2 linked regions of the Nothobranchius furzeri genome follow. The protein of the gene in region 2 interacts with the protein of the main gene of each other region in a pairwise test. Links are inferred from orthologs where the notes say so. Each region holds a gene or a part of one and is shown on either strand. Other genes may lie near its edges.

The links.
Region 1: the proteins of sgtb (region 2) and txndc12 interact in binary tests that used the Homo sapiens proteins (3 or more experiments, as listed by UniProt). The two-hybrid records come from large-scale screens. The link is inferred for Nothobranchius furzeri from reciprocal best matches to the Homo sapiens genes SGTB and TXNDC12.

The regions. Positions count from the first base shown.
Region 1 is NC_091751.1:41,992,816-42,003,333, reverse strand, and holds txndc12 (thioredoxin domain-containing protein 12), read left to right. Parts: upstream 1-3,661; 5' UTR 3,662-3,755; coding exon 3,756-3,855; intron 3,856-4,771; coding exon 4,772-4,832; intron 4,833-5,017; coding exon 5,018-5,070; intron 5,071-5,432; coding exon 5,433-5,506; intron 5,507-5,598; coding exon 5,599-5,668; intron 5,669-5,953; coding exon 5,954-6,037; intron 6,038-8,112; coding exon 8,113-8,192; 3' UTR 8,193-8,960; downstream 8,961-10,518. Other genes in the region: transcription factor BTF3 homolog 4, read right to left, coding at 136-249, 2,628-2,681. UniProt on the Homo sapiens protein: Protein-disulfide reductase of the endoplasmic reticulum that promotes disulfide bond formation in client proteins through its thiol-disulfide oxidase activity.
Region 2 is NC_091746.1:65,340,450-65,350,867, reverse strand, and holds the end of sgtb (small glutamine-rich tetratricopeptide repeat-containing protein beta), read right to left. Parts: intron 7,722-10,418; coding exon 7,659-7,721; intron 5,456-7,658; coding exon 5,418-5,455; intron 5,340-5,417; coding exon 5,256-5,339; intron 3,767-5,255; coding exon 3,655-3,766; 3' UTR 3,646-3,654; intron 3,554-3,645; 3' UTR 2,845-3,553; downstream 1-2,844. Other genes in the region: trappc13 (trafficking protein particle complex subunit 13), read left to right, coding at 1-32, 109-216. UniProt on the Homo sapiens protein: Co-chaperone that binds directly to HSC70 and HSP70 and regulates their ATPase activity.

The DNA of each region.
Region 1 (10,518 bases), on a different chromosome or scaffold from region 2:
GGGAGAACCCTTAACTCAGGCTTCCATCCTGTTTTATGCCTCATGGCACATCACTGATAAAAGATTCAACTTTCAAAGACAAAAATATATTTAAAAAACCACGATGGTGTCATCCATGTTCCTTTGATGTCTCACCTCTTCTATCCCAGCAATGTTGTTCACTGCCAGTTTCTTCAGCGAGCCCTGCAGCTTTTTGTCATCAGCTGTCGCCGTTTTGTGAACAACCTTTTTCTTCCTGCGTGCGGTCCCCTAGGAGGAGATCAAATGCATACTGAACCAGGACATTAAATCTAACAGGTTTCCATATCCGGTGTGATTAAGATTCTCAGTCATACATTTCTGACATCACATTACATGTTGTAAGAATGGTTCATTTAACTCATAAAATGGCAAAAACTGATAAATTCTGCATTTAGCTAAAACCACAGTCTCCCTTAAGATTGCCACACAGATTTTTCATATATAATTTGGGCATAAAAGCTTTTTTAAAGACCAAGTCACCCCCTACAAGAAACAAACTTACTCCCACTTCATGTGTGAAAAATGCAACAAATGCTGTTGCCTGACAGACAAGAGGGCGGAGCTGCAAACAAATGCACACAAACATGCTCCCAACAGCATTGTGACATCATATGGTACCAGCTAATGTCATTGTGTACCTCTTAGCCAGTAGCAATAGCAGATTTAAAATCAAATGTAGTGCAGAGTTTTTACCTGACGACAGCGCAACACTGACAGTTTCAGGCAGAATATTTAAATGAATGAAAATGCACTAAAGTGCCAAATTATTGACTACACATGTCTACAGCATGGTTAGACACTCATTTATATATTTTATCAGCAAAAAAGAAGTTGATTTGGTGGTGACTTGCTCTTAAAGCACAGCTTTTCCCCATTCTTCAAAATATATGTGTATATTCCAGCATAATGAGTTAGACGATGTGGCCTAAAATCAATATCACAGTATAGTGAGGCGTTCACCTCGATAAATGGACGATAACTACATGTATACACAGAAAGTTGTCCACTAGATGGGGGCTGTCACGTGTATTATGCGAGTCACGTCACATGACTCGAGGTGGTACAGCTTCTTAAAGGGACATGAACGTGGCCAACCTACACACATCTTTTCATTTTTTTTGTTATCAAATTCATTTACATGGAAAAAACAATATCAACTAGTGTCAGACAGTTCAATAACGATACATTTTTGATATATTGCTCAACCCCAGCATATGCCCACCTGACAACACGTCTGTCAAATCATGCCTTTTTTGAGCTGTATGGCACTTTGATGTGCCAGTTTACCCATCAGATCATCATATACTTTGTGTAGAACAACTGCATGACACTGATGGATGGTCCTATCAGTCTGATCAACATAAGCTTTGTTTTAGTAACTGCATGACATCCTAATAAGCCATTTTAGCCATCAGATCACCACACATTTTGTTTTATCAATCGTATGACACACTAATATGCTCATTTTACCAGTCGGATCATACAGTTTGTTTTTAACAACAGTGTGACTTTGCCATCTGTATGCTGAACTGATAGCTCTTCAGAACATAGCGGAGGTTTAGATGAATGTGCGTGTGCACGAATGTGCATCAATTGCATATATGCTGCTCTGATATGTATCTCAGTACCTGCGCTGCAGCATTAGCTGGCGCAGACTCTGCAAACCGAGCACAACTGACAACACCCCCAGCTGGCTGAGATAGAAATTTGTATCCTTCTAGGGCTGAACGATTTTGGAAAATAATCTAATAGCGATTTTTTTCTTCAATATTGCAATTGCGATTTAATTCACGATTATTTTCTCAAGGGGCTTTTCTCATTTTTCAACAAACGGAAGCAAAGAAAAAAATCTATGTAACTTGTACTGAATATAAACAAGTTTATGTATCTACATATTTATCTACATATCATAACAAGTTTATCTGTCTACATAAACACAAGTAAAAACAAAATTTTGTATTTTAAGGTGCAATGCTTTGCAGCCAGGATGTGTCCCATTTATTGAAGTATTTTGATTTAGTGTTTTTGACGTTTTGTCCGTGCAGAGGTTCTGTAGTTCAATTTCGTTCATTTCTGAATATCTGAATCTTGAAACTTGTTGGATCATGAATCTGTTTAAAAGTTTTGTTCTATAAGTGCCCCCTTTTTAACTTTGAGCGCTCGCCCCTTCAAAGCTCTCTGCACTACCCTGATTTTTACACGGTTTCACGTATTTAATGTAGAAATTAATAACAATAAGGACATTAGTCGCAAAAGGAAGGCCAGGGAAGGACTATATTTTTAATTGATAGTATTTTTTTTATTGTAGAAAATGTTATGTGGCTGCTGGAGCCGGAAGAACTTTTCCCAACAAAATTAAAAATAATGCCATCTAGTGTGTGGCTGAAGACCTGACGGTTAATGCCACAAAGCCACAAAGGTCACAGATGCAGGGGCCAGAGCTTCACCTAACAAAGAGAATGCTGAAGTCAGTAGAAAAGATTTGGCCGACTCCAAATACCTTTAAACTTCTTAAAATAAAATGTCCGACTAATTTTAATCAAGTACTACTAAACATTTGTCATCACATCTGGAACTACAACAAAAAGTCAAGCTTTAAATTGTACCTTTCCTCCTATCCGGACCTGAGCTTGAAGTTTGGCCAGCTTCTCTTGATTCATAATGTTCTGTTGGTTTAATAAAACAAATAAAATAAAAATTAAATCCTCGTTAAAAACCCAAATATACAAGTTTACACCGCCCAACCAGCTAGCCGTTCAGACACAAGAATGCTAGCTAAGCAGTGTGTTGGGCAAGAGCCCTTTCTTCACACCTTAGCAGCAGGTTAGCAGAATTTAGACAAGCCAGTTAGCATTTTTACTCACATGAACCCCATCAAATCAAAGAAATTAATTTAAACAAAGCAAAATAAAGAAATTAATTTAATTAATTAATGAGTTATTTTAAACTTACGTTGGTGCTTAACTGAAGCTAGCTAGTTGAGAAATATCGAGGTAGACTGAGCTAACGCTAACGGTAAAATAATGCCGTGAAATAACTTTGACTATCTATTTAAAGCCTGAGCCACACCAAAAGATACGGCTTTCACAACATCAAATAAAATATTTAGCGCTAATTTAAACGGTATATTTACCTCTGATTGTGAATTAACAGCCCGTTGAACTGTGTTTGCTAGGAACGGAGCAAGACGGATTAGACACCAGTCAAATTAGTAGTCTAACATACAACTTCCGGTGATTATTTTGCCAAATAAATCTCATCCACGTGCAGAAATTGTAATTACTTTACACAAATTTGGGGAAAAATGCTATTTTACTAACGAAATAAATTTAATATATACATAGCAAAGATTTAATAACAAAAACTTAATTACTTACAACTTTCTGCTTTCCTTTGGTTAACTTATTTTTTGCAATTTTCGTCGTCATTTCCGGTTTTATACCAACATTGTTTGTCTAGCTTGACATAACACTGCATTGAAGAGCACGCGGTTGTGTAGATGTAATGTCACGTGAACGCGTCTCTAAATGGGAAAAAAAAAAGCTGGTGGCCAATAGCAAGCGAGACACACGCGCGCGCTACCATGGCTAGCATGCGCGCTGTTAAGATTTTTATTCCGAGACAAAACCTTTATTGTGAAATGTTGCGGTTGCACATCCGGGTCACTGACTATTGAGCTTTCCATTACTACCATTGCCTGCTAGCCGCAGTTGTGGGAAAGAAAGGCAATAAACATGCAACTGTCTGTAGTAAATGTCGCTGCTTTCTCCTTTTTCCAGGTTTTATTGTCTTTTTCGTGTTTTGATGTGGTTGCGGAAGCCGCCAGTGGGAGAGGTGAGTTCATATATAGGAGAAAATAAGTTTTTTAAGCAGGCTGGAGCAGCTTCATTGAAAGTGTGGTAGAAATGAGAGCTGCTGTTCTTTGTCAGCATCCCGGATCACATTGTGTGCGTCCTTGAAGACTAATAAACAGGCGTGTTGTGTCTAGTGTCACTAACTTGTTTCACTTCCAGACACTCATGCTTTATTTCTTGAAAATGTATTTTATGCATTTTAATAAATCTTACACGAAAAAGTTAATTCTACAAGACTACCCCCTGAGCCTGAGATCAGTGGACTCAGTGGTCTCCTTTAAAAAGCAGCTTTCAAACTCACCTGTTCAAGCTGGCTTTTGTATAACTTCTTCTTCACCACTCTCTTTATTCTGCTCTCCCTACCTATTTCACCTTCCTCGTCCACTGATTCCCCTCTTTCCTGTTCACTTTCTTTCTTTCTTTACATTTTTTAATCACAATTGTCTATTTTTTGCTCATTTTAAATATATTTTTAAACATTTTCTAAATTATTTTTTATATTTTTACATTTTTTGTTTTTGTGAAGCGCCTCGTGATTTTTATCTTGAGAGGCGCTATAGAAATGATACTTCTTCTTCTACAAACACCTCATTTGACTTAAAGCAAAAATAAAACAATACTTTAGGTCTGTTAAACCTGTATTGTTTAATTCCGATTCAATTTGATTAAATTAATAATTATCTCCACCAAAACAGAAAGTAACCATTAAGTTTCTCGTTCAATTCTTAAAATAATTGATTTTATTTTACTTAAAAGTTTAGCCTTAACATAACATACCAGTTATATTAGTTATTTGTCCCAGTTCTTTGTATTGATTCTGTATTTAGGCCAGACCCACCCTTGTGTGGAAATTTAACTCCAGTTACACAATGCTGTTGTGCTCATGAACCCTGCAGGATTTGGGGACAATATCCACTGGAGGACGCTGGAAGATGGGAAGAAGGAAGCTGAAGCCAGGTAGCTTCCTGTTTGAAGCCTCTTGTGTAAATATTATCTGGAGGAACAAGAAACATTTTCATTTGGGTCCCAACTCCCTTCCTTTTAAAAATCTTGCATTTCCGGTTTATATAAAGAAAGTCTACGTTGTATATTTACTGTTCTGACTGACTTTGATGCATGTGTCCATGTTGGTGAATTGACAGCGGGCTGCCGATCATGCTCATCATCCACAAGAGCTGGTGTGGAGCCTGCAAAGGTATTTACTTACTGTTTCTTTTTCTGGGAATGCCAGACAAAACTCTGGTGTCCACTGGCACTCATAAATAATACAAGCAACAGTGAAGTTGGTCCGACTTGTGAGGCGTTTGATCTTGGAGTTACTTCCATCTGGTTTTAGTTTTTTTTTTTGCCAATCCCAAAACACAGAAGTACTTCCAGGAAGTTGTCATTTAGCTCAGATTTTCCTCAAAAACAAGGAAGGCAATGGCCCATACCGGCTTTCGCTCTGTGAAAGGCTTCTTTTCAGAATGTTCAAAGTTTTTACTCTAAAACTATCAAGTAGAGATAAGAAGAGTCACATTTTTAAATAACTTTCTTTTCTTATTTGTTACAAATCAGCCCTGAAGCCCAAATTTGCTGAATCCAAGGAAATCTCTGAACTGGCACACAACTTTGTAATGGTGAATGTGGAGGTGAGAAACAGCAATTGGTTTAATTTTGTTTTCATTTTCCTTAAAGCAGCAGTCATGCATCAGGTAGTTAAAGTTGTAACTGTTTATGACAGGATGAAGAGGAGCCCAAGGATGAAGCCTTCAGCCCAGACGGTGGATACATTCCTCGGATTCTTTTCCTCGGTATGAACTCATTTGCATAAAACCCGATTGAGATCTTTACGATAAAAAAGCAGTGGCTCTTCAAGAAGCGACATACTATAGCAGAGCCTGAGCAGCTCTTGGAGCGGGATCACACCGGGGCCTTTAAACATGTCCTGACAGGAATCCCATCGGTGGGACAGCTCCCTGGGAATTTGCTGCTGGTCCCTTTTGCCCTGCTGATCACATTTAAAAGCCTGCATACACTCAAGGAGCATCAATAAACGTGCACCATACTACTAAAAAACCTGTTTGTTCCACTTACAGATCCGAGAGGCAAAGTCCATCCAGAAATCAGCAACAAAAATGGGAATCCCAACTACAAGTACTTCTACAGCACAGCAGAGCAGGGTAGGGGGTTACGTTCTGTGCAAATGTCTCAAACTATTTCCACTTTTTCTTAAGGAAGAGAAACTAAAATCTTTCAATTTCATTCTTTTTATATGGACACTGGCAATTTTTAGGATGATCCCAGCAAGGATGGTGTCATGAAAACACTGTAGGAAAACCAAAAGATGATTTAGTGTTCTAAAGTAAGAAAAAATAGAAATCCAGCAAGTTTACAGTTGGTATCTGTTTGGAAATCACCTTATTGATGTTGTAACGCGAGAAATTAAAACAAATGGTGTCTTTGTATGGTGTTGTCAGTAGCAAGGAGCCTAAAGATTCTATTTAAAACTGTTGATTATTTGAATGGGACTGTTCCTATTAATGAACGTAATTACCCCAGATTTAGCAAAAATGCCTATTTCCATCCGTCGTCCCATAAAACAAATACGCAAAAGTAGCAACAGTATTAATACACCATAAAAAGTCAAATATACAAATTCAATAAGAACAACAGATACAAAAAAAAGGATTGATTTAACCTGTTTTTAACTTGACGCATAGAAGTGCCAGTACTGCCCTAAAATGTTTGATAAATGTCATAAAATACTAAAATTAGAAGTCTTGAAAGATGTCTAAAGGTCAGTGCTAATTTCTGACAAATCATGCTTTCTATAATGGGGTAAGGTGTTTTGAAGAAGAAGAAGAAAATATCATTTCTATAGCGCCTCTCAAGAAAAAAAATCACGAGGTGCTTCACAAAAACAAAAAATGTAAAAATATAAAAAATAATTTAGAAAATGGTTAAAAATATATTTAAAATGAGCAAAAAATAGACAATTGTGGTTAAAAAAATGTTAAGAAAGAGAGAGAGTGAATAGGAAAGAGGGAAATCAGTGGATCCTGAGGAAGGTGGAATAGGTGTGGAGAGCAGAACAAAGAGAAAGTGGCGAAGAAGGTCATACAAAAGCCAGCTTGAACAAGTGAGTCTTCAGCTGCTTTTAAAGGAGTCCACTGAGTCCACTCAGGCTCAGGGGAGGGAGTTCCAGAGTCTGGGGGCCACAGCAGCAAATGATCTGTCACCTTTGGTCTTTAGCCTGGTGCGCTGCACAACCAGTAGGCTTTGATCACTGGACCTCAGGGACCTGCTGGGGGTGTAGGGACTAAGAAGATCACCAATGTAAGATGGTGCTTGTCCATGTAAGGCCCTATAGACCAGAACCAGGATCTTGAAATGAACTCTGAAGTTTACTGGCAGCCAGTGAAGCTGGAGGAGAAGCGGGATGATGTGGGTGTGTTTGGAGGACTTGGTCAGAAGCCGAGCACAGGCATTCTGAACCACCTGTAGACGGTTCAGGGAGGTTCTGCTCAGACACGTGAAAAGAGAGTTACAGTAGTCTAAGCGTGAGGAGATGAAGGTGTGGATAACTGTCTCATGTTCAGAGCGGGACAGAATGAGACTCAGCTTAGCAATGTTCCTGAATGTTCCCAGCTCCTGCATCCTTTAGAGGAGACCTATTGTAATTTTTTTAAAAGACATGATAGCTCTGTGGTCGATATCAATTATAAAATCCCTTTCACATAGTCATCTCAGTTTTGACATTTTCAGTACTTTCCAGAATCAGTCGTTCCTCAGTTAAAAAAAAAAGAAGCTGCATCTGGTCACTCCCACCCATCCCGATTGGCTGCTGTAAGCTGAGAAGCTCAGCTACCTTGGAGGGCCTTGGGATATTTTCATAATTCAAAGGAAAGTTTTCCTTTCCACTGTCACTACATGCTTCCGTAGTATGAGGATTGCTGTAAAGTCACTGACACAAGTCAGTGACTCGATACAATATTCTGGGTTTCCTTAAATAGGAACCTTAACTAACTGGCATATTGAACAGAACTAAATCCACCGATAAGTAGGTTCAGTTGGAATGTTGACTTTGTAAAGTGCCTTCAGACTACTCTTGTGATTTGGCTCTCTATAAATAAACTGAATTGAATTGAAATAACACTAAAATTGGTTTTAGAATTTTAGACAGTATTTTATTCTAGCAGATATTTGCTAGATAGGCCAACTCTATGATTAAATGGATTTTCCTTGTTTTGCTCAGTTTGGTCAGCGATGGAAGAAGCTCAGGAGAAGCTGACGGGCGACGCCTTTAAACAGGGTCACACCGGAGACGAGCTGTGAGGAGACAGCGGAACGGGGAGCGCCTCCAGGCTGTAAGGGCTACACATCTTCTCCCTCCAACAGGCCCTCTTGATGTTTAGAAACCCAGTTCGGTCTCCTCTGACTGAACCAAACTCACTTTTGAACCACCGGTGCTTGATTTCTTTTTTTCTCGTGTCCTGCACGGTTTTCCCTGCTCTGTTAGCTGTCATTGTTTATTATAACTGTACGTTACTGACTAAAATGCCATATTATACCTGATATCTGTAGAGGATTTTAATCAGCTCTAGTTACTATAAATGCTTTACTCCCATTTGAGTACAACGTTTGGTTCGGACTCCGAACCCACAGAGACTCCGACCGTCGGAGTTTCCGTGACTTGAGGGAGTCTGTGAATTTTCATCAATCAAATATTTAAAAATAATGGTATGTTTTATCTTTTTAAATACCAGATTATTTAGTCTTGACTCAATCATAAAATTGGTTGCACTGTCATTGCAACCTTATAAGTGACTTATTAGCAAGGTCTTTATGAGTTTAAAGCTGAACAATATGGAGATCACAATTTTTTAGACAGCCATAAAATCAGTTATCTTAGCTTTCATGAGTTGAGTACCAAAACCATAAAATTTTTCTGTCTTTATTCAGATCAGTGATTTACTGTAATATTTAGACATTAATCTAGTTTTCTTTCCTTAAAGGGTCATCTCATAAAAAAGGGTTTCTTTAGAAGAGTTGCATTGTTTTCTTGGATTAATGTGAAAGCCAGATTTCAATGTCCACAAAAAGAAACGGGCCTAAAGCCTCCTGATGAAGGCCTTAAAACTGTAAGAACGGTTAATAACTTCCATTTTTAAAGTTAGCAGGATTTTCCTTCTCTCCATCTGTGGTTCTTTATTAGCCATTAAATATTAACAACTAAAGCAATGTGCTTCCAAAAATCCTCTACAGTATTGTGTGGTAATATTCACAATATGACCTATAATTTACACAACCAAGTCTTTTAAATAACAAGTCCTGCCATATTTACGTGTGTCGTTTCTGTTCTGCATGTGATGTAAAACTCTTACATGCCTTTTTAATCTTCAATTAAAGAAGAGTGGATGTTGGTTTAGTGAATTGATGTATTTTATACAGCCAAGTGTGTAAATTAAAATGTTGTAACGAGTGATTTTGAGTCACATTTATGAGCAGAGTTCATTGAAGACACAGAAACGATCATTACAATCGATCAGATTTTATTGTCTTCGGCAACAGCAGCGATCCCTCCTGGTTCGTTAAACTGCTACAAACCGGTCACGTCCGTGGATTAGCGTGTGGGTTCACATTAATGCTTCAGCATTTGAGATGATACACTTGATCCAATCGTAAACACAACTCTAAATATGTCTTAATAACAAATCTTACAGCTAATTATTTTACATGATTAAATAAATTACAGGAAAATGGTGGAATACATATCTAAATATCTATTTAACAGTGAGAAAAACAGAAGGAATGTATGGTAACTTGCTGAAAAATTGAAGATCATTATGCAACATGATGGCTGCCAAATATGACTTATATGAAAGCTCTATAAAGAGAAATAGTTGTCACGACAGAAATATAATCACTACTAATTATTCTAATTAAATAATTCTGCTGTAAAATCAGCAGCTCTTTGACATAAGAATAAAAAAATCTATAAAAGATGTGTGCCACATCTGTATATTTATACATGGACAACTAGAAAATAGTAGGAAGGTGGTCAAATTTTGGGTTTGAGTGCAACTTATGGCCACTTTAAACTCCTGTTGACTGCTGTGAGTTTTTAGGATTTGGAATAAACCATTAACTCATTCACTGCCAATGACGACTAAAGTCGTCATTTGCATTTTTTTACTGTTTGAGCATCGGAACGAGCCCCCGCGCTGACAGAACAAACATCTCAGCCCTGAAGCCAATCTTCATCCGCATACATCACAGATCACATGATCAGGAAGCAACACATCCATGTGTTTGGAGATAGTTTTGGGCCGTTCCTGTAAAAAAAAGTGAGGCGCGAACCAGAAAAGCGTCTGCCGATCACAATTCGACAACGGATTATGAAAGAACGGATAACGCTCGAAACACGCGGCTTCTTCCTGATGTAAGAGGTGAGTCTCCTCTTTGTTTTGGTTGTTTTGGCATCAACATCATGCTAGCGCGCAACGTTCTGTGACTCTTAAAAAACAGTAAAACCGGTGAGAAACGCTGGCAGCGAAGGCCGTTAGTGATCAGGAAATGGCTGGCAGTGAATGAGTTAAAGAGCAAGTCACCCCCAAATCAACTTTTTCGGCAGAGAAACTATATAAAAGAGTATCTAATA
Region 2 (10,418 bases):
TCACAGTCTTCTCCTCCGTCCAGGGTCTGCAGGTAAAGCTCAGACTTTCTGGATCCAGAACACTTCCTGTTTCCTCACGCTCACATTTCCTGCTCCTCTTTGTTCCAGAGTATTTCCGGACTGAGACTCACCGACACGTTTCTAAAGAGGACCTACGAATACGACGACATTGCACAAGTGTGTGTGGTCTGTCCGTTTTTGAACAATGAGTGCTAGGAATTTTATCAGCCCTTTTTTTGCATTTTAGATATGACTGGACCAACGGAGGAGTTTTTGCACTTGAAATTTCACTCTTTTTCTTTTTGCAACCTAATGAGATGATACTACATTTTAAAATGAACTGTGAATAGCATTAATCTTTTCTTCTGGGAAATAATGTAAATGTGTAAAAGTGTTAATAAATACTCTGTAAACTTTGTGTCTCGTTTTCACAAATGAACAGTATGTTAGATTATGGTATTATTAGATATCTCACTTTTTATTAAGCATTTTGTTTAGTTTATTTTAACTTGGTCAAAACTGAGTATGTTTTTTAATCATATGAAAACCAGAGCATCTGCAGGGTTGAGGAAGCCAAATTTAAGACTTTAAAAGACAATTTTGATCAAATTTTGTTCTGCTGGGACCGAAAGTGCTGAAAAACACAAACGTCAAGATATTTGCTTTGCAGAAGATGAACGTGCATGTAGTTCCTAACATCTAAAGCTGCACTTCCCCGTGGCTCACACACCCACTAGCTAATGCAGCTAATGTGCATACCTGAAAATACACCCCCACCCTAAATAAATGTTGCTGGTTCCTCTTATGCCAGATTCATATGTAAAAATACAAAAGATTCACAAAATGCAAATGAAATAACGGTGTGTTATTTTTAAACCTGGACTCTAGATTTAAGGATTATTTTAATTATAGTCAATAAAAAAAATTTAATAATTATAGAAAATATAATTAAAGTCTTTTTAAGGATACACCCTGTAAATAAAACCCAAAACACACATTTTCCCACTACAATGATGCTTCAAAAGAAAAATGTATGTGTCAGAATTAATAATAATAATGCATAGAACTTATATAGCGCTTTTCTAGACACCCAAAGACGCTTTCACACACTCACATTCACACACTGCTAGTGATGGTAAGCTGCTTGTAGCCACAGCCGCCCTGGGGAGGTCTGACAGAGGCGAGGCTGCCATTTGGCGCCATCGGCCCCTCTGACCACCACTAACACAGGCAAGTTGGGTGAAGTGTCTTGCCCAAGGACACAACAGTAGGATACCCCTGGCGGGAGCCGGAATCGAGCCCATGACCCTCCGATCATGAGGCAACCCGCTCTACCACCTGAGCAACTGCTGCCCCGTGGTGATAATATGCAAACAGATTACATTTAAATAGTTTTTTGGCATGTTGGTAAAAATCATCGGTTCCTGAGGGAATATGAGTCATAAAACTAATGAATGCATTTTTTGAATAGTTTTGCATCATGCTGCCCAAATGATACATTTATTAAGAGCATTTATTATAGGGTGGGGGCAGCAGTAGCTCACCAGGTTGAGCAGGTTGTCCAGTAATTGGCGAGTTGTAGGTTGGATCCCAGCTTCGGACAGAGGATTCTGCTGTTGTGTCCTTGGGCAAAACACTTAACCCACCTTGCCTGCTGATGGTGGTCGGAGGGACCGGTGGCGCATGTGTTCGCCAGGCCTCGCCTCTGTCAGTGCGCCCCAGGGCAGCTGTGGCTACGTCGTAGCTCATCACCAGCGTACAAATGTGTGGATGACTGATTGTGTTGTGAAGTGCCTTGGGGGGTTGTAGAACCCTAAGAAGGTGCTACATATACACAGGCCATTTACAGTTTTACCATATTAATGGTTTGATTATCAAAATGAATGATTTACTTAAATTCTTGCTAAAACAATGAATGTAATTTATACCATTTTTAACATAACTACTGGCTGTATTTTAATAACTATAATGTGTGTGTAATCACATTAAAATGGGCTCTTTTCATCTTTAGATGCTCGTGTAGGGGCGATGGTGGCACAGGAGTTAAGTGCTTGCCCCGTAATCGGAAGGTTGCAGGTTCGAGCCCCGCTCAGTCTGTCGCTGTCGTTGTGTCCTTGGGCAAGACACTTAACCCACCTTGCCTGCTGGTGGTGGTCGGAGGGACCGGTGGCGCCAGTGCTCAGCAGCCTCGCCTCTGTCAGTGTGCCCCAGGGCAGCTGTGGCTACATCGTAGCTCATCCCCACCAGTGTGTGAATGTGTGTGTGAATGGGTGAATGACTGATTGTGTTGTAAAGCGCCTTGGAGGGTTCCAGGACTCTAGAAGGCGCTATATCAAATACAGGCCATTTACCATTTAAATGCAGCAGGGCTTTTAAAAATATATTATCAATGTCTTATATTAGTGCTGTTGTGGTTAAGAACATCTTTTCAACACCTTAATCTTACAGCTGAAATGTCTCCTCATTAGCCTTCGTTTCTAGAGGAGCACTCACTCTGCTCTAAAACAAGCAGAAAATGGGCTGGAAGCAGACGCCAGCTCCACCCCACTCAGCTCCCTCCACCAGCAGGGTCCGGACCGGCAACTCTGAAGTTGCAAGTCCGGTATTCTGGTCACACGAGGCATTGGGGTCTGAGTAACCCTGTAACGGGTCATTTTAGCACATACTCGCTCAAGAAAGTGATTATAAATGAAAAAGTTGCATAATGTGCCCTTAAATAAAAAAAATTCGGATGCATTTTTTATTTAAGGAAAACAAAAACAGGACGTTTAATTTTACTACATTTATTTGTTTTTGACAAAACAATGTGCTGTCTGCAGCATACCAATGTGTTGCCATAAAGCATCAGATCTCAAACACCAGCTTTATTTGCATGCAAAACAATCAGTACGAACATGTTGTTAATCAACCAATTGATGTGACTTAAAGGGAAGGGCTTCTTTTGCTTTGACAGAGCCGTAACAACATAAAACTCCGCTGTACAATCACACTTTTGTCTTAATTCAAAGTACTGAAAAGCAATGATGTGAATCTCTTTTACTCATAAACAGTCAACTCTGTCTACAAAAATAATACTAAATATTATAAACAGTATGCTTTAGTATATCTGTGTGAGAGACGAAGCTGAAATGGTCCCTGCTCTGTAGCTAATGAACGTTCCTCCCACACCCCTTGATGCCTCTTGACTAGACTGGTGGATTCTCAGCTCCTAACGCGGTGAAGGCAGCAGTTTCAGCACATCGAAACACCATCGGCTCATCAAAACTTCGAGGAAAATATTCACTCTTCTGTCGACGAGCAGAATGAGGTGTTGGCTTTTTGTGATCGGGTGTTTATGGTATGTTTGCCCTACTTGAATGGGATGTTCTTGTTTAAGGTCCAGTCTCCAGGCTCTTCCTCCTCTGCAGGAGCCCCTCAGTCTCAGTAAAGTGCCTTCAGCCCCACCCTCGTCTCTTCATTCCAGCTGTGCCGGGGATTTGACTCAAAGAAATGGGTGTAGAGATTGTTATCGCGCCGTATGGTTGCTCTTCCTTTGGGGGAAAAGAAATCGCATCTGCAATAAAAATATTAAATGTTAATCCTAAAAATGTGTCCTAGATTTAAGCAGTGGGTTAAAGTTTTGGGTTTTAGATTTTTTTTAATTACAGGAAAGGATCATGAATGCTCCTCGGCGCTGCCGCTGAAAGAACGGCTCCGGATGTGGTTCCTCAGCTGCTCGATCAGCTCCGGGTTCTGCTGCTGGATCTGTTGGGCAAACTGTTGTCCTCTTAATAAAGAGCAGAGACAGAAGAGATCCATCAGTTTTCTGCTACTACAGGCAGTTAAAGATGACAAATTATGACCTTTTTTCTAATAGTTTTATGGTCGATACAAAACATGTTCATAAAGGTTTTTTTGCACAAAATCTCTCGCATAAAGCAATTTCAGCTATTTTATAATTAACAGTTTCAGTACCTTCCAGAATGAGGCGTTTCAGAGTGCTGTCACTTAAAGAAAATGAGCTGGCGCTGGCCACGCCCAGCTGTCCCCTAACTGGCTGTTATAAGCTGAAAAGCTCTAATATCAAGGAGGGGTTCGGAGTAGAGCTGCAGCTCCTCCAGCAGTAGCTCTGTCTTGCACATAAGAAATGGTTCTATGCTAATTTCCCTGGTTGTGACATCACAAACAGGGAGTTTTTGAAATGGCTTGTTTTAGGCACATGATTTCTGAAACCAAACACTGTCAGAAAATGGATGGATGGATTTTTTTCAAGTTTGGAGTGTTTTTGAGGCAGTAGAGACCCACATGGCAGAACAAAAGATGGCAAATGGTGAGGTTTTCATAATACGTCCCCTTTAAACCCAAAAAAAAATTCTGATAATGAGTTTCTTTAGTTAAAATATCATTGGCCTCCTTCTACAAAGGATGGGTAACGTGATATAAAAGTGATTTTAATGAGAAACATTGTTTAATAGCGTATTTTATTATTTAGTAATAATGAGAAAGGTCTTAAGTAAAGTAACACTGATCAAAGGTTAACCAAATAACGGGAGCATGACTCAACAAATTACACTTGCTAACTCTCTCACTGCCCGCTCCTTCACACACACACTTCGTTACGGCTTGACCAACGGGTGGACGAATACGTTTCTCTGAAAAATTACAAATTCCACTGTTCCATCATTTTCTGCTGGACAAAATCCAAACATCCTGTGAGATGTCAGCTTTTTGTTGTTATGAGCGATCTCATCATTACGACTTGTTTTCATGAGAAACCTCCTCATAATTGCGTGTTTTTGTGTATCATAATAGTGAGAAGCCCCTATAATGAGACTGCTCTTTTCTTTTTTCTGACTTCATCTGTCCGATACCAGAAAGCGTCAGCACATTTGGGGATCTGTAATCAAACATACTGTTCCAGTCCTTTGCATTAGAAGTCTATATTTTGATGCAGGTGAAAAAAGGCAGCTTAATGATAAATCTGTGTTAAAACCATATAAGAAAAGTAAATTTCTATATCATTTATCATGGATAGAATTATCACAAAGATTAAAAAAAAGATAATTAAAAACAGAAACGGTCATAATTACTTGGTTTATTGGACAGTTGGAAGTTATTGTTTAGATGCCTTGCTGCCAGGATTTAGAGGAGTAGATGAATACCAGAAACAAAATCTGGACAAACCTTCCTCCAAAGCCTCTCAACAGAAATAAACCCCTAGACCAAGTAAAGGTGTAAAGCGAATATGGATTTGAGTTTAGTTTCCGTGCACTTACGCCTCAATCAGGCTGGAAATGTCTGACATTCCTCCCACTCCCGCTGCGGGGCCTCCAACGGCATTAGACATCATTCCTGACATCCTGAGCACACAGTGACACAGTGAGTCGATGCACCCCAGCTCATCCGGAAACTAAAGCTTAAACACAGACTCCACTCACAGCTGTTGGACCTGTTGGTTCTGCATCACACTCGCAGCCTGTAAACAAAAACCAGATGAAATCCATCGCGTCTCCCACAGGTGTTGTTAAAAACCGATTTACTACTGATCACGCTGGCAGCTTTATGAGGAAGACCCATAGGTCTTTGCTGTGAATGCAGGTAATGTCAGATTTAAAAGAGTTTTCCTGATGGAATGAACCTCTGGCCTGTCCGCAGAAGCATTCTTGACCTGGTTGACTATGGAGCTAGGACTGGGACAATATTCAATGTAACTTGTACCAAGTTTTGTAACTTGGAATATGTTTCATGACATGTAACTTTGGATTCGTAACTTGTAACTTTAGTTTTCCAACTTGTAATTCTCAATTTGTACTTGTATTTCTTGTTTTGTAACAGGAAATTTTCATTTTGTACATGTATTTTTTATTTTGTAAAACGTATTTTGCCCTCCTCTCCCAATGATTGGGCAGGAATTCAAGAAACGTGATTGGTAGCTAAGACTCGTGCTCTCATTGGTTCCACCCAAGTTCCTCCCACCGATGCTAGAATTGAGACAAAATTATTTGTAACACTGTAGATTTGAGGTTTGTACCTGTAGCATGAAATGTGTGTTTTGAGAGTTTTGATTTCAAACATGTACATTGTTTTTTTTTATTTTGGAAGTCTGCTAGGTAAAAACCGGAAGTTTCATGTTTCTGAATGAATGTTTGATGTCACAAAATGAGTAGTAAATGTACAAAATAAAAGTTTGATTTTACAAAACAAGAAATACATGTTGTAACGTGATGAATGAGCCATTTCTCCCCTCTAACAGCTGTCCTTGTGACACAGTGCCAGTGTGCATGAACAGCCAAGGTCACGCATTTACTTCTAATGTTTACATTCCAGCAAGAAGACAGAAGGAAGAAGAACACTTTTCTTTTAATTAATCAAAGAACTCTATTTTAATGAACCTAATCAAAACAACTGTTAGTCATTAATAACCATGTGACCGATCTGTGAAATCACAATGTTATGATTAATATGCTTAATGAGTAATATGACTTTGGTCTAACTGCACTAGACATCCTGATCCATGTAATGTCAAGACATGACACATTGTTTACTCATCCAATCAGAACCTTCATTCTGAAGCGTGGCAGAGTTTCTGTGGTGTTTATTTAATCTGTCCACTGCGATTCGTCAAGAATCGTAAACAACCAAGATTAATAAAACAGAACAACGCCATTTTGTGTTCAGTATTCAACCAACTCTCGAGATCATCTGATGTCCATCATTGCTAAGTGAAGTACGGACTGGCCATCTGTACATTTTACTTTTAAGCTGAGAACTGTCAAGCTGGAAAATCCTGTCGCTGTTACCAACAAAACAACGGTTCCTTCAGAATAAAAGCTGAACTCGCTGACCCAAAGGGGGGTCCCTTTGACGCTGTGAAACACCTGCCGTTTTTACCCGGAGACTATCCATAGACTGGCTTGTCGTGCTGTCGACGCTGTTTAATCGGTTCCAGCACCAGAGGAGGGTCCGAGGACCTGGCAGCCAGATCTAACATGGAAGTCCCTGACGGGTATTGTAGAACGGCACCAGATGGCGTCTAATGTCTGTCCTGACTAAAGTTCAAACGTCGATCAGTTAGGAGCAAAACTACATCTCCCACTCAGACTCTCTTCTCCAGACGGAGGTTCTGAACTGACATCGCACCAACACACACACTCCACCTCATTGCATTCCATTCACATCCATCACTAGAGAGTTAGTCCTGTTAACTGTTTAAAATAATTTAGATAATAATTTTTCTTAAACATTCCAAGGTCTCTCTCTCTTCTCTTGTCTCTCAGTTCATGCAGTGTTTAATTTTAAATTTCTCTATAAAAAAAGAATCACTTCTGATTTTAAAAGCCCAGGTCCAGAGATGGGGTCCCTGCCAGGTATGGATCATTAATATCTCTGGTTCTTAATTAAATTGTAATACCCTTCATTTCCATTACACATGTACAAATTGAGAATTACAAGTTAGAAAACTAAAGTTACAAGTTACGAATCCAAAGTTACATGTCATGAAACATGTTCCAAGTTACAAAACTTGGTACAAGTTACATTGAATATTATCCCAATCCTAGCTCCATAGTTGACACTCACATGTGTCTTCTTCTAACAAGGCAGGATTATTTCTGCTCGGAGCAAAAGGTTTTGTCTCTGATGGCTAACAGGAATGTTGGCTGAGATGTTAGAGCTCTTACCATGCTGATGAAAGCAGGGTTGTTGATCAAACTGGCCATGTCAAATCCTAATCCAGCGGCTATCTGTGAGCACAGATTCAAAAAAGCAACCATACGTGTGAATTAAAGAATACATATCCACTAAACGCTACAAAAACAATGAGTTAAAAACAGTGCTGCTAATCTATGTTTACTTAAATTTTCTATCCTAAAGAGCTAGCTGTACATTTGAAATAAATAACTTAAAAACTTTAATGACCAAAGTTTTTATACCAAATCTGGTTAAAGCTACAACGGCAAATCTGCCAATCAAGCTAGCTAGCTTAAAACATTTTTTCATGCCTCTCAATAACATTCTAACATAGTTTAGCTTTAAATGTTTTGTGGAGACAAAAATATAGAAAAATAATGACGTAGTTCTCTTGTAACAACCTCAGCCAATAACACGGCTCAGGTTGAAACCAACTATTGGACCATCCGGGTGTCTGTTTCATCAAGCCACCACACATCTGCATATACCTGGGTCCTCCACTCATTACGTGCCTGCACATCTTGCAACAGAACACCACTGGTGTGAGCGGTTCTCTGCTCAGAATTGCCGGACAAAGAGAAACAACCAGCTGCTACAACTTTAGAACAAACTACCAGAGTCCCACAAAGAAAAAATCCATTTGAAGTGTCAAATGAAGAGAGTCCCCTTTACCCATGACACAAAGAGATGCAAACAACAGACATTTTTTGATTGAGAAGTTGGACAGAAGCCGCAGAAAACAAAAGACAATTGGACGTAGAAAACTAGGGATGCACGATACGATACTGGAATCGGTATCAGTTAAAGTTAACCGATACCAATGCAGTTGCTTGAAAGGGGCTTCACTGTTAACTTGTCATTTCTGTTCACCTAATATTTTAGTTTTGTGATCATTTCTATTTGTAACGTCACAAAATGGCCTGATTTTGAGATCCCACAGGTCAAATGCACAGCCAGGTCAACTTACCCTGGCTATGACACATCTTACTGTATTTTCCCCTGACAGGAGTCGGAGAGTCTGCACGTAGCCCCTTTAATCAGAGCCTACTTCCTCACACCAGCTGGACTGCAGGGATAATAAATGATAAACAATAAACATTTTCTCCTCCAAGGTCCATCACAGAGGAACTCTTTTAAAATAAACTCCGTTATTCCAAGAAGAAGAAAAGAAGATTTTATAATTAAAAATAATCATTGAATGAACTTTTGTTATTGTTAATTATAAATAATGAAATTTTTCATTAATCTGTACTCAATGATTGTTTTAGTATGTTTACTTGACGAGGTCATAACATTTGCACTCACAAGTAAAGTTAAGTTAATGCATGACACATAAGTTAACCTTTTGCCCACATTCGGAGTCTCCATCGAAGAGGGTGTGTTCTGAGATTCTTGGTAACATCTCTCAAACTTGTCAGCCTCTGATTGGCTGGCCAAACCATAATATCAATTGTTTAAAACCAGATGGCTTTGGGTAATTAGTCAGTTCTTGAGCAAGCTTCAGACCGACCATCTTTAGCACCTCTCTAACCAGAAGGATTTTGACACGTCGTCAAAACCTTAAACCTTTTTCGCACCTGCAAAGGTGAAACAACAAGATAGTTTTCCTGCAGAACAAAGCTGACTCCAAACTCCTTCAGAGTAATTTTTAAGATGCTCGGTTTCATCCATCTGTCGTGACCCGAAAGACATCTCCGGACTGAAAGAACCGGCACCTCGGTCCTCTACAGCCCTCCGGTGCCAGCGGTCATCCGACCTCTCACTTTCGGATCCACCAAGAGGGTCTCTTAATCCGGGTAGACACACAGATAGCGTCTGAATGTGGTTCTGATAATAACATCTTTATAGTTTATTTGCAAACCAAATTCTTTCCATCCAGAACTCAGCTCTGAGAACGCAGATTCTGAATACAATATTCACACATAGGTTCCAGACACCATCTTAGTTCGCATCCACTCACAGTAAATAATAGTTGAAACCATTTGTCAAGTCTTAAGTGTTTGTAAAATAAATTCTTACTTTGTTTATAAACCTGACTATTTCTTGAATCAAAGTGAAGTGTGTATGATCCCTTAATAATTAAAAGAATCCTAGGATCTTCTAATTAATCATCCTAAGACCAAGCAGGGGATATTCTATTTATATAGAGTATCATGGCTATTGGTCACAAGTAGTAGTAAGCAATTTACTTAAAGCAATTTACCCTCTATTATCATTACATTTTCATATATTTTACTTTTTATCTGCCTCACAGTCTTTTCCTGTTGAAAGCAGAGAAGAAAATAAAACCTGTATTCCAATTCATTGCATTTTTTTTGTGTGGTTGAAGTATCGATATTGGTAATCGTATCGGCGAGTACTCAGATCCAAGTATGGGTATCGTTGCATTCCTATAGAAAACTGTGACTGGTGTTTAGTACTCTCATTTACTGTGGCAATGTGGGTTCAGGTATCAGTGGGATTTGGCCTAGGGATGATAGGCAACTGGAATGTTTAAAGCTAGCTTGTTTAGCAGATTTGCCATTGCAGCTTTAAGCCTAAAATACCCAGAGTTAACGTTTTAAGATGGCTGCAGTTACAAACTTATGTCAACAGGTGGCAGAGCTGTATTGTTTAGGGAAGATGATGAGGGTATACAGCTGGGGTCCTAAACTAAATGTGTTCAAGGGCCAGAGTTTTTTCCAGCTGACACAGCGAGGGCCAGAAGCTCTTCTAAAACAAAGTAAAACTATTATTGTGTCTTTATTTAT